Linked DNA regions of Danio rerio. The protein of the gene in region 3 binds, or shares a complex with, the protein of the main gene of each other region. Links are inferred from orthologs where the notes say so. Each region holds a gene or a part of one and is shown on either strand. Other genes may lie near its edges.

Region 1 (4,343 bases), on a different chromosome or scaffold from region 3:
AGCAACTGTTTGACACAAATTGCAATGATTTCTGATGAAAGTATTTTTTAGGAATGTTGACGAAGATTTGGTCGAAAGGTTTGTATGGTTCGTTTAAAATAAAAGCCAACAGCACACATTTAATTATTAAATATATATTAATTTGAACATTTTAACACGTTAAGCTGTTGTTTGACAGGCTCGACGGAGGCTAATGCAATTACAAGTACACAACTCATATACAACAGCAAATATAGCCTAAGCATCTAAAGTTATTCCTTGTTAAAACTACTCTCGTAATATTACTTACGTAAACTATTGCTGTCCGCTTAAACGCTCAACCAAACAGGTAAATGTGCGCAGGTTATTAATACCGCCATTGATTATATAAACAACATTTGATATTCAGACAGCGGCATATAGTATTAGAACCGATTCAGGCTTTATCATTACCTCCGAACATATCCGACTCTGCACAGCATGCTCTAGTCCGTCACACAGTGATACAAGCGACCAACCAACAGACCTAAATTCGCCACATTACAACCTGCCCTTGAAATTTCAACTTCAACTTGGACTAGACCATACCATTTTGTCAAAATAGGGGTCTGAGAAAATTTTTTTTGTATTTTTATTGATTGCAGACTAAACTATAAAGAATATTTCCGTGTAAAAATAAATTATGAATATTTGAGAGCATAGTATATATTATATATATCTCAAGGGATCGATAGTACTACAATGTAAAGAGGGTGCAAAAACCATGCCCCCTGTCCCAGTTGGTGTAATTCAGTCAGTCATTCTAGGCCTAGGTCCAGAGTGAGACAGTAAATAAATGGTTTCGTTTTAGAACTTTTGTTGCCTGATTTATTAGGATTGTACATTTTGTTTTGCTTCACATTAAAGCAAAATGAATAGCTCAATTTCTTTCCACTTAGTAATTTTGCAAAGAGATTACAAGCAATGGGTTAAGAATTACACAGATCGTAATTCCTATGGCGAATATCTAATGTAATTAACTTGATCATGTATGTATATAGAGAGAGTAAAACGTGTTATCGTTTAGTTAGCATTAAAGCTTACATACCAGGGTTGCCAGATCAATCAAAAGAAACGTGTCAGAAAACAAACCGGATATGAGAAAGGACTTTTGGAAAACACTAAACAGGACACACAAAATATATATTTTAGTCCTTCTTTTCTTGTGCCTTTATTATTGATGTCGTGGTGGTCGGTATGTTTTGTGTGGTAATTTGTCTTTTACAACTAGCTACCTACACCTAACTAACTAACAAAGCAAAAATGAAGTCAATTAATAAATGAATGATTATATACATTAACGTTTGAATGTATGCATGTAAGTTATAAATAAGCTATGTTATCATAATTGTAATAGGTTGTTTGTTGTACTGTAAAAGATGCACTGTTGTTCAATATCAACCTGGCAACACAGTGACAGGAACGTGCTCCTCCTCCTCAGCGCTCGCGCGAACGAACACACTGATGCTGTGCGGCTGAACATCGCGCACACGCTGGTCATGGCGGACGGGCTACCTTTCGTCTAAATAAAAAACGCAACATTTTCCCTATCCCGAGAACTATATTAATAAAAATAACTCTTTCGTATCTCACATTGGAAGACATACGTGTCATTCTGGTCGAGGCGAACCGGCTCTGGTAAGTGGTAGGGATTTAATACGGCTATTTCAGATAAAGTGCTGCTTCTCGGAGAGGGAGAGTCTCTTCCTTCTCCGCCATTTTGTGACAGCGAAAATGCTCCAAGAAGGCGCCGGTACATTTTTATTCCTGTGCGTCTGCAGTCATTTATTGTCTATGTTTTAAGACGAATCTGCATTATCGGCTACGTAAGTTCTTCATGTCTTCCCCGGGAGTAACGAGCACCGTTCCTGAGACTATGAGAATGGCGCGCGGTTGTTTGCGGCGCAGAGCGTTTACCAAGTCAAATCGTTAATTGACGAACTCAATTCGCCTGAATTACGAAACTAACCTTCTTGTTTGGCTATATGAAATAATATTTAAGGGCTACAGTTTGCATTTTTCGATTATAATACGTTAAATGTGCAATTCAAGATGCATATAACGTTTTAGCAGTAAGTTAAGGTTAGGTCAAAATGTTAAGTGATATTTTTTCACATTTTCGCAGTTTAGTTTGTTTCCACATGTTTGCTGCATTTAATTATCAGAAAGTGAATAATTGGCCTTAACTAAGCAAATTCCTCCACAATATCTGTTGTAATTGAGAAACAACAACCTCTCCCTCGCCTGGTGGCCTATATTCGTTATAGCACACGTGTAGGCGTGTGAAATCCATGCAACTGTCTCTAAATCTTTTCTGCATATTGTTGCTTGAAATTGCGTGTGTAGGTTTGATTCATTGATTTATTTGAACTTACTAAGTGTTTGGTTTGTATGCTTCTGTCTTGCAGAGATCAGAATGACCAATGAAGAACCTCTCCCGAAGAAGGTGAGCTCTTTGTCCCAGTCTAATCTGATTATATGATTCTTTCTCCTGAACAAGGTCTCTTTATGAGTCTTTATTTTCTTTTTATGTACTTGCAGGTTCGCCTTAGTGAATCTGACATGAAGACGCTGACTCGAGAGGAGCTCTGTACCAGGTATGTAACCATTCTCTCTCCCGCAAAAACAAAGTATGCAAGTTGAAAGATTCTTGATTGTAATGCTGGTATGTTTTCTTTCCGGGTGTAGGTGGAAACAGCATGAAACTTACGTCCAGATGCTTGAGGCGAAATATGCTGATTTAAACTGTAAGTATGCACATCTTAAATGTTCTGAATAATTCATAGTCTTGAGTGCTTTACTCAAGCACAGAGTGTTCAGTCTTTGTGTTAAAGTAATGTTATTGCATAAAATGAATTGTTGGTAACTAATGCATTTGTTTCATGTTGAAATGTCTGCAGCCAATGACGTGACAGGCCTGAAAGAGTCTGAGGAGAAGTTGAAGCAGCAACAGCAGGAATCTGCACGCAGAGAGAACATTCTGGTGATGAGGCTTGCTACAAAAGAGCAGGAAATGCAAGAGTGTACAGTAAGTTTTTTTTTCTTTTTTTTCTTAATCACTACTACATCTGTTTACTTCTGCTTTATGATCAAGTCTATTCTTGGAAATATGTCAGTTTGTTTGAGTAGTACTGAGTGTCTGAGTTTTGTAGGTGCTGCCTAAGTTGCACACTTCCCTACTATAAGTAGGTGCAAATAGTAAGTTATTCAAAATGAGTATCCACTCAAGAAGAGTGCATGTGATTTGAGATGCTGCTTCTGCTCATGGGTCCCCACCATGATGATTTCTTTTTGTTTACATATAGCAGATGCATTTCTTTTTCTAATGATCTGTGAGACATCAAAAAACATTGCAAATGTAATAGCTGCTATGATCTAGTCAAATGTGTTTTCAAATGTCGGCCATGCAAATTCTAGCTGTAATTTATCATGCTGTACTGAAGCGGATATGAGCATAAATTTTCCAACATTTCAACATGCTGGCATAAAGCAAAACAAATGCAAGTGGTGGCGGATGCAGGCTTGTGCATGTCTACAGTGTTCCACCTTTTACTGCAACTTTCACATTCAGGCACAAACTTTATTTGTAGCAGGTACAAATGACATTACGAATAGGGTTTGGAGTTTCAACTAGACTAGTTTTCATTGCGGTGATTGTTTAATATTGGGACATCAAAGCACTTCAGTTATACAAGCTACTCATTAACTAGACAATGAGCTTGGTATTAAACAGTTGTTTCAAAAATTAAAACTTTAACTGTATACTAGTTTCAAAGCTGAAGTTTTTTATTTATATAAACAGGGTTCATACCATCATAGAAAACCTAGAAAAGTCATGGAATTTTGACATGGTGTTTTCCAGGCCTGCTAAAGTTTTGGAAAAACAAAAGCCACAAAGTTTTGGAAAAGTCATGGAAATTGGATATCTGTATACTTGAATAAAGGTTTTTTACTTTTCTTCCTTGGCCAATCATATACTCTCAAATTATTAGTGCGGTGTAAGCATTATCTAAATCAAATTTACATAGATATAAATTGAAACTAAATGGATTGTTGCGTATTTTATGATATGCTGTAATAAATTTGAACTTGCATTGTTTTTCTTTTACCTCATATATGTAGATAATGCATGAAACATTAGGCCATAAATATTTACTTGTAAGTCTTAGAAAAATCATGGAATTTTATTAGCAAAAATATGTATGAGCCTTTTATATACGTACTTGCATACTCCATTGACTTTTAATTTTTAGTTTGAAATGCTGAGATTCTAATGGTCTCTTACCTTGCAGACCCAAATCCAGTACCTGAAGCAAGTCCAGCAA
Region 2 (4,240 bases), on a different chromosome or scaffold from region 3:
CTCACATCCATCACGATCAACCTGTCCGTGACTGTCACCCTAACACCCGACAATTACTCTCCAGTCTGCGTGGATAAGACATGGTACCCGAGTTTTCTCATCTTGTCGTTTGGCTGTTATCAGAGCAGCAGACGCGGATCAATAAAAGAGAAACCGGGGAAGCCCGGAGCTTATGACTCATGCATATTGATGATCGTCGCCCAGTCTGGATTTCAAGTTTAAAAAGAGAACAGTTGATGGTAAAAATCAATAGTGTCCTTCATTTAATAGTGACAAGTTGCAGAACAATAGAAAAAGAATCTACGAGGCAAATAGTAATTGCTAAATAAATCATTCCACGATAGCGCCCGAGCTGCGCGCGCCGATCTTCCCACAGAGTGAACTTAAACGAGAGTCTGCCACGTTATATCAGTAATTTGGCGTCTAGTCTGGTCTGGTCATCACTGTTGGTCTCTCCGAGACAACACGGTGTACAAATTTCGGCTCAAGCTTTCAGAACTAATCACAATGACAAACAGCCAAAAGTTCACTTCTGCCCTCTTGTGTCAGTAAAATGCAACCAGAATCAATGCTTTTCATTTATGAAATTATAAACATTATTAATTATAGAATAATAGCTAATTTAAAAATATATTTTTAAAATCGGTTTCAGTTACTTTCAGTCAGCAAGGATAGATCAAAACAAATACAATATTAAAAGAAAAGAAAAAATACAATTATTCAAAGTCTAAATTTAAGGCTTTAAAATAATTAACATTGCTTTTTGTTTTAGTATTTTTTGTTTTTATATCGTACATGATCTATTTCTATTTTAAAATGAGTAAAATTAGGTTTTTTTCACAGCCCATTTACATTTACGAATAAAACAAATTCCACATATAATGAGCAAACACTATACCAAATTTTGAAGCCGGCTGTATTCTCATAATAAACATCATTTCTTTTAATTCCAATGCAATACTCGTACTCCGCAAAAAAAAAAAAGATCACACCAAAACAATAGTGTATAAATACAATCAAAATAAATGAACAATACTCTCTTCTTAATCGTTACAGAAAACACATTTTAAGTCAACACCTTTACAAAATTGTGCAATTACCTGTTTTACATGATAAAAACGATTAACAATTTTAAATATTAAGTTACCTCTCTAATTTTTCAGTTATACAAAAACGTCTGGAGATCTTAAAAGTCTGGTTCGAGTTTACGTCTTGAAATTGTGATCTCCAAAAACTAATGGCTGAAGGAACACTGACAGTCAAATCATTCAAAGATAATCATTATTACATTTTGTTTACGCTAGTTGTTTTTACTCCAAATAAAAGTAAGAGGCCGTCTACTGACGTCACCGTATGCGTCAAGCATTGTGATGATGTAAAATACATGCGACGGTTTCTCACGTTGAGGGTTTCAATGGATTTTTGCCGCACTATTGTTGTCATCTGATCATTTCACGATTAGCTATTTTCCTGCAAAACATTTTCGACATGAACAGCCGCTTGCAAGAAATACGGGAAAGGCAGAAGCTCAGACGTCAGCTTCTCGCACAACAGGTACGAATACACAACTTTATTTCTTCCTGCAGAAAGCCAGTTTTAGCAAACACTGCCATATTAACGCGGTGTTATATTACTAACGCCAATGAACGTAGAAGCATTGCGAATGTTTTATGACATTAATGATTTGTTTTACAGCTCGGAGCAGAGAGTCCCGACAGCATCGGCGCAGTTCTCAACAGTAAAGATGAACAAAAAGAGATTGAAGAGACTAGAGAGACCTGCAGGTATAAACCATTTGTTAAATTCAAGGACTATGTGCAGCACTAAAAAATAAAGAACACTAAGACCTATATACCCCAAAAGAGCTAAAACTGTACTGATAGGACAACCTTTACATTCAGCACGGGTATGTGATGCTGCTACTTGTAAGTTAGTATTAATCAGAACGATGCTGAGGTCAGTTACCATTTGGTTTGTTTACTGTAGGGCATCATTTGACATATCAGTTCCTGGTGCTAAAAGGAAGTGTCTGAATGAGGGTGAAGATCCAGAGGAAGATGTGGAAGAGCAAAAGGTGAGAGAGCGCTGATCAGGAATCGGCTGTTAATTCAGAAAAGCCCTTACATTTGATCAGGTCAGAGCTATGTGTAACTGATTTTGAATCTGCTGTATGGTGTAGGAAGATGTTGAGCCTCAACATCAGGAAGAGAGTGGACCATATGAAGAGGTGTACAAGGACTCCAGCACATTTCTAAAGGTATCTTTAAACACAATTGTATATGATTTAATTGAGCAATCGGGTATGAGAAGCTATGATATTTTTGTGAGGATACTCAGACATATATTCACAAAACGGTTACCACTATATACTGTCATTAAAGGCAAAAACATGGTAATTTTTGAAAAGTACGATCTTTAAATTCTTTCATTCCATCAGAAAAACTGTCCCTTACAGTAAACGTAAACTGCATTGGGTTTTGCAATTAAGGTATGTTTCATAGTTCTTAGAACTAATGTAGGAAATTCTCGCTTTTGACATGTTTGTAATGCAAGGACTAGGAACAGTTTTAGTTATTGGAGCTTTTTTGGGAAACAAGTGTTACATACAGTATATACATACAGAAAGCTAGAGATAGTCTCATTTACCTGTTGGCTTTTTCTGCTTTCTGCATTCTTTCCTTTGTATTCCTTTGTATTATGTATCAGTATAAGATGTCATAGGGGATTTATTTCTTCTGGTTCCTTTTTCAGTTGCATAGTTTATGTCTATGCAAAGTCACTCTAAATATTACTAAAATAACATAAGTAATGTTTTTATTATATCATTACTTGTTTCACAGGGCACTCAGAGTTTAAATCCTCACAATGATTATTGCCAGCACTTTGTGGACACAGGTCATAGACCTCAGAACTTTATCCGAGATGGAGGTAAAGTGTTTTTCTACTTTTTCTTTTTAGTTTTCCACTTTGAGAGTGTGTTAACCTGTGTGTTCTCATGTGCTGTAGGTTTGGCTGACAGGTTTGAGGAATACCCCAAACAAAGAGAGCTCATTCGACTGAAAGATGAACTCATCTCTGCCACCAACACTCCCCCCATGTAAGAAAACTTGGTCTCAGTCTATGTCATAGGGCCCATACCGGCCAGTGGTGCCCATTTGCAGTTTTTGAAACCTGAAAATTATTCACATTTGTGTATAAAACACTGGGTTTTATTTAGATTCTAGAATTTTATTTGAACGTACTAAAAACAAAAGTGATTTTGAGGTTGCTAAGCAAATAAAATCAGTTATTTTTTATAATAATTAGAAGCATTTAACTATGGGACAATTGGGTCTTTTTCAATGCTTTTATGAATGTAATAACTCTTGCGTTTGTGTGCGTTTCAGGTATCTCCAGGCAGATCCAGACACGTTTGATCTGAGAGAGTTGAAGTGCAAGTTTGATGTGATTCTGATAGAGCCTCCATTAGAGGAATATTACAGAGAGTCAGGCATCATTGCCAATGAGCGCTTTTGGAACTGGGACGATGTGAGTTACTGCAAATTCTCAAAATCAACCTCATGAGAATGTTTTTAAAATTGATTTCAATTATGTATTATAATACACATTAGAGATATACTTGACTACACTCAAAAATGAAAATTCTATCATCCCCACTTGTCCCAAAGCTGTTTGAGTTCATTTCTTCTGTTAAACACAAAAGCAGATATAGTGAGGAATGCTGGGGGAAAACAGCCGTTGACTTTCATAGTTTTTTTGTTTGTTTGTTTTAGTTGTTTTTGTTGTTCCTAATATGGATGTAAGTGGCTGCATTTTCCAACATTCTTCAGATTATCTAGTTTTATGTTCAACAGAAGAAAGACATTGATAACAATTTACAACCATTTGAGTCTGACTAAATGGTGAGAATTTTCATTTTTAGATGAACTATCCATTTAGATAACAGTTATTATATATTTTATGCTCATATAATATAATAATGTAAGATGTCCTAACATATATAATAACTTATTTTTGTATTCATGTGTGCTTTAGATCATGAAGCTGAACATAGAGGAAATCTCATCCATTCGCTCTTTTGTATTCTTGTGGTGTGGCTCAGGAGAAGGCCTTGATCTTGGCCGAATGGTACAAATCTCACAAATATACAAACTTGACATGGCAGATTTCTGTTCCATGTGCATAAACCTAAACTTATCTCAAATATGATGTACACATAATAACCTGCCCACATACAAAT
Region 3 (4,219 bases):
GCTGCAACACATAGCTGGGAAATGTATTATGTTATAGTAAGTAAAAAACAAAGAGGTTCATTATACTTGTAGTAAGTATTCAGATGACCTACTTCTTTTGGTGAGATTCTGCAATGTGCTTCCAAGGGACTATTCCATAAGGCAACATGAGAGGATCTGTGAATGCCAGTGAAGTGACGTAACTGAAGATGTAGGGCACGTGACACTAAAACATGGCTAATCTTGTAGTTCTAGATTGTTCAAACAATACTATGTTCATTATGTAGGGCGTGTTTTCAAAGTATGTAGCCTACTCAAATACTCAAGAAAGTGTTTGATTTTGAATGCAGTTTGTGCATTGTAAAAAATAAATAAATGACACGTTGGCTGTTCAATTTGTCTTCTGGTGAATCAACATTGGATGAATGTGTTTATGTGCATGATAAAGTTTTTAAAATAGTTGTATTTTGTTTTATTATCACTCATTTAAGGTTTTGGACGTTTTTGTATTAAGTTCAAAGCATTGTCCTATAAATATATTCCTATTTTTCTTCATTGAAAAAAATAATAATTTGGGGGTAATTTTTTTTAATTTTGATGGTTGAATTGATAATTGTATAAGTTAAAACTATAATGGTCCCTGAGGGTATGAGTAAAGCATGCAAATTGTAAAACACTAAATTGTTTTAAGATAAATTTTAACTAATTTAAAGGCAATAACATTACTTTTATTTATTTATTTATTTATTTATTTTTTACAATTTAACATAAAAAAAAATTCACAGACATGGGCATATAATCAGAGATCTGCATTGTTTTAGTTAAGAAATTATTTCAGTTATTAGGCTAAAACCAATGGCTAAAACCCATGGAAAATGCTCATCTATAGCTGACCGACATGGTTAAAAGGCTGTTTTTTCACGTCCGTTCACCTCTGTGAAAGGCAAACACCACCATCTGTTGGACATCAAGTGAACAACGAGAATGTTTTAGTTTTTTTTTATTTGGATTACTTACGTTTTATAAAGATTGCACAGTTCATTTAAATTTATAAGAAATAACATGTAGGTGAAACTCAGACTCTTAGCATCTATTAAAGTTAAACACCGTTTAATTTTAAAAATAGCCTATACAAAGCACTCTTTGTAGATTTATCGAGATGATTAATAAATATGGTTTAAGAAGCAAATATAATATTGGCAGTACATGTTCTCAAAGACTATATGTGTGGTTAGTTGAATGTCACCTCTGTGTTTTATAAAGTGGCTATAGTAAACATTTGGCTTTTGAAGCTAAAATGGTGTACAGCGAGACTGGGCGCTGTACTAGTGCTTTAGATTGACAGACGGATCAGCCAATAGCGCTGTCGTTTCTCAGAGATTCAAACCAATCAAAGTCGACGGGCGGGTCATGTTTTAGTCTTGACAAGATGGCGTATGCGGTTGTTTTGCCGCAGGGACACTGAACAATTTATTCAGTTTATCGTGCAAATTCGTTGACGTTGCGGTAGCATTACAGTTAAAAAAGTGTTTTGTTAGGCGCGTGAAGCCAGAGGACATCTAACATGAAAGGTAAAGAGCGGTCGCCGGTGAAAAAACGTTCAAGGGCCTTGGATGATATACGAGACAGGGGAGGAAGCCATCCGACCAGTAAGAAAATGGGGGTTATCTCGAATTCTGGCGGAGGAAGCAACAACGGCAATAGTTCGTCTAAAAGCGACGGGGGCTCTGCACGACGGGGACTGCTTGGAGATAAAAGAGACGGACGGGAATTTGACGGACATGTATCCAGTCGGACTGGTAATAACCACGGTTACACGAGCCCTGTTGCGAGCTCAAGCGGCAAAAATCACGCCTCGAGTCTGTCCTTAGAGGCGGCGCGCACCAACTCGCGCGGGGAGGCGCGCGCACCGCTTCCCACAAACGAAAGTGAGTACAAAACTTTAAAAATCAGCGAGCTTGGCTCGCAGCTGAGTGACGAGGAAATCGAGGACGGCCTCTTTCATGAATTCAAAAAATTTGGTGACGTGAGCGTCAAAATCAGCCGAGTGAACGACGAGAGAATCGCATTCGTCAACTTTAGGAGACCGGATGATGCCAGGGCGGCAAAGCACGCACGAGGCCGGCTGGTGCTCTACGACCGTCCTTTAAAAATCGAGGCAGTTTACTTGAACAGGCGGAGGAGTCGCTCTCCGGTGAAGGAGGATCATTTCTCTGTTGTTGCAGGCCATAGACATTTGCATACTCAGAGGCCGCTCTCTCCAACCGGCCTGGGCTACAGGGACTACCGGTTACAGCAGTTAGCACTGGGTCGGCTTCCTCCTCCCCCACCCCCGCCTCTGCCCAGAGAGCTGGAAAGAGAAAGAGAGTTTGCCTTTTATGAAGCGAGGGCGCGGCCCGCATACATAGCAGAGCGAGCCGCTCCTTTCCGTGAGGAGGACTTTATCTCTCCAGAGGACGACCAGAGAGCCAACCGCACACTGTTTTTGGGTAACTTGGATATTACTGTGACTGAAAACGATTTGAGGAGGGCTTTTGAACGATTTGGGACAATCACTGAGGTGGACATTAAAAGACCCACTCGTGGCCAGAGCAGCACCTATGGCTTCCTTAAATTTGAGAATTTGGACATGGCTCACAGAGCTAAAATTAGCATGTCTGGGAAAGTTGTGGGCCGAAACCCCATAAAAATTGGATATGGTAAAGCCACCCCAACCACAAGACTATGGGTGGGTGGTCTTGGCCCTTGGGTGCCTCTGACTGCATTAGCCCGGGAATTTGACCGCTTTGGAACTATTAGGACTATAGACTACAGAAAAGGGGACACCTGGGCTTATATTCAGTATGAAAGCCTGGACGCTGCTCAGGCAGCCTGCACACACATGCGTGGATTTCCTCTTGGTGGTCCTGACAGGAGGCTGAGGGTGGACTTTGCTGACACAGAGCATCGCTACCAACAACAGTTCTTGCAGCCCCTCCCCCTGCAACATTATGAAATCATGGCTGAGTCTTTCGTTCATCGTGCCACCCCTGAAGCCATCAGGGTCAGAGAACGGACTCCTCCGCCACTGCACTTCAGAGAAAGAGAACTCTATGCTGGGGCTGAGTGGCCAGCACCTACTATTCGTGAACGTGTACGAACTCCTGCATTTGAGCCCCTTGAACACTTAGAGCGTGAACGACGGCGAGAGGCCTGGTCACTGGAGCGAGAGCTGCCAGGCAGAGAAGCTGCACGAAAACGGCGGCTCATGGAGGACGGCAGACATCTGGAGTGTTCGCCTGACAGCAGCAGTGAGTGGGCGGCCCGCCGTCGCAGACCCCCGTCGCTTGAGGGCAGCCCAGGCGGCAGCAGCCGAGACGGACGTTTCAGTGACTCTGAGCGTCCAGCGAGAGCAGACCGGGTGTCCCCAGCACGAGAGAGCCGCAGCAGCCTGGACCGAGTTCCCGGTGAGAAACGCATCAAAAGCAACAGCAACCTCTCTGAGTCCAGCATCGGCGCAAGCCCTGCAGAACGAAAGCGCAAAGCGGGCGATTCAGCTAAAGGTGCATCCAAGAGGGACAGATCCGAAAGCAGCTCCAAAAGCAACCAAGCTTCAAAACAGGACGCAGGGGGGAAGCTGAGCATGGCCTGGAATGGCATGCTGCTCCTCAAGAACAGTAACTTCCCAGCCAGCATGCACCTCCTGGAGGGGGACCTGAGCGTCGCCACCAGCCTTCTCATCGACGGCAGCACGGGTGGAAAAGTCTCTCAGCTGCGCATCACACAACGGCTTCGTCTAGACCAGCCCAAGATCGACGAGGTGTCTCGGCGCATCAAAGTGGCAGGCCCAGGAGGCTACGCAGTTCTACTGGCAGTTCCAGGCAGCTCTGAGGAGACTTCATCATCAGACCCAGCAGCATCCACGCAGAGGCCTCTCCGCAACCTGGTTTCATACCTGAAGCAAAAGCAGGCCGCCGGGGTCATCAGTTTGCCCGTCGGCGGCAGTAGAGATAAGGACAACACTGGCGTCCTGCACGCATTTCCACCATGTGATTTCTCTCAGCAGTTCTTAGATTCTTCTGCGAAAGCTCTTGCCAAAACAGAAGAGGACTTCCTGGTCATGATCGTTGTGCGAGGAGCATCTTAACAGTCATAATACACACTAAAGTATTGTTAAATGCAAGCTTCTCTTAATGTCTCTTAATTGCATGCTCTCTAAAGCAGAAGTGGTACTAGAGTAAAGGGCAGCTGTTGTTACCTG

The links.
Region 1: rbm15 (region 3) and wtap share a complex: the UniProt entries of both Homo sapiens proteins name them as parts of the WMM complex. The link is inferred for Danio rerio from reciprocal best matches to the Homo sapiens genes RBM15 and WTAP.
Region 2: rbm15 (region 3) and mettl14 share a complex: the UniProt entries of both Homo sapiens proteins name them as parts of the WMM complex. The link is inferred for Danio rerio from reciprocal best matches to the Homo sapiens genes RBM15 and METTL14.

Annotation. Positions count from the first base shown.
Region 1 is NC_133195.1:33,721,948-33,726,290, reverse strand, and holds the start of wtap (pre-mRNA-splicing regulator WTAP), read left to right. Parts: upstream 1-1,499; 5' UTR 1,500-1,656; exon of another isoform or gene 1,657-1,844; intron 1,845-2,426; 5' UTR 2,427-2,434; coding exon 2,435-2,464; intron 2,465-2,559; coding exon 2,560-2,615; intron 2,616-2,706; coding exon 2,707-2,765; intron 2,766-2,918; coding exon 2,919-3,046; intron 3,047-4,310; coding exon 4,311-4,343. Other genes in the region: sod2 (superoxide dismutase [Mn], mitochondrial), read right to left, coding at 433-461. UniProt on the Homo sapiens protein: Associated component of the WMM complex, a complex that mediates N6-methyladenosine (m6A) methylation of RNAs, a modification that plays a role in the efficiency of mRNA splicing and RNA processing.
Region 2 is NC_133176.1:21,570,377-21,574,616, reverse strand, and holds the start of mettl14 (N(6)-adenosine-methyltransferase non-catalytic subunit METTL14), read left to right. Parts: upstream 1-1,396; 5' UTR 1,397-1,488; coding exon 1,489-1,554; intron 1,555-1,695; coding exon 1,696-1,784; intron 1,785-1,986; coding exon 1,987-2,074; intron 2,075-2,179; coding exon 2,180-2,257; intron 2,258-2,840; coding exon 2,841-2,928; intron 2,929-3,006; coding exon 3,007-3,097; intron 3,098-3,386; coding exon 3,387-3,528; intron 3,529-4,035; coding exon 4,036-4,128; intron 4,129-4,240. Other genes in the region: prss12 (neurotrypsin), read right to left, coding at 1-11. UniProt on the Homo sapiens protein: The METTL3-METTL14 heterodimer forms a N6-methyltransferase complex that methylates adenosine residues at the N(6) position of some mRNAs and regulates the circadian clock, differentiation of embryonic stem cells and cortical neurogenesis.
Region 3 is NC_133183.1:26,684,705-26,688,923, reverse strand, and holds the start of rbm15 (RNA-binding protein 15), read left to right. Parts: upstream 1-1,396; 5' UTR 1,397-1,543; coding exon 1,544-4,105; 3' UTR 4,106-4,219. UniProt on the Homo sapiens protein: RNA-binding protein that acts as a key regulator of N6-methyladenosine (m6A) methylation of RNAs, thereby regulating different processes, such as hematopoietic cell homeostasis, alternative splicing of mRNAs and X chromosome inactivation mediated by Xist RNA.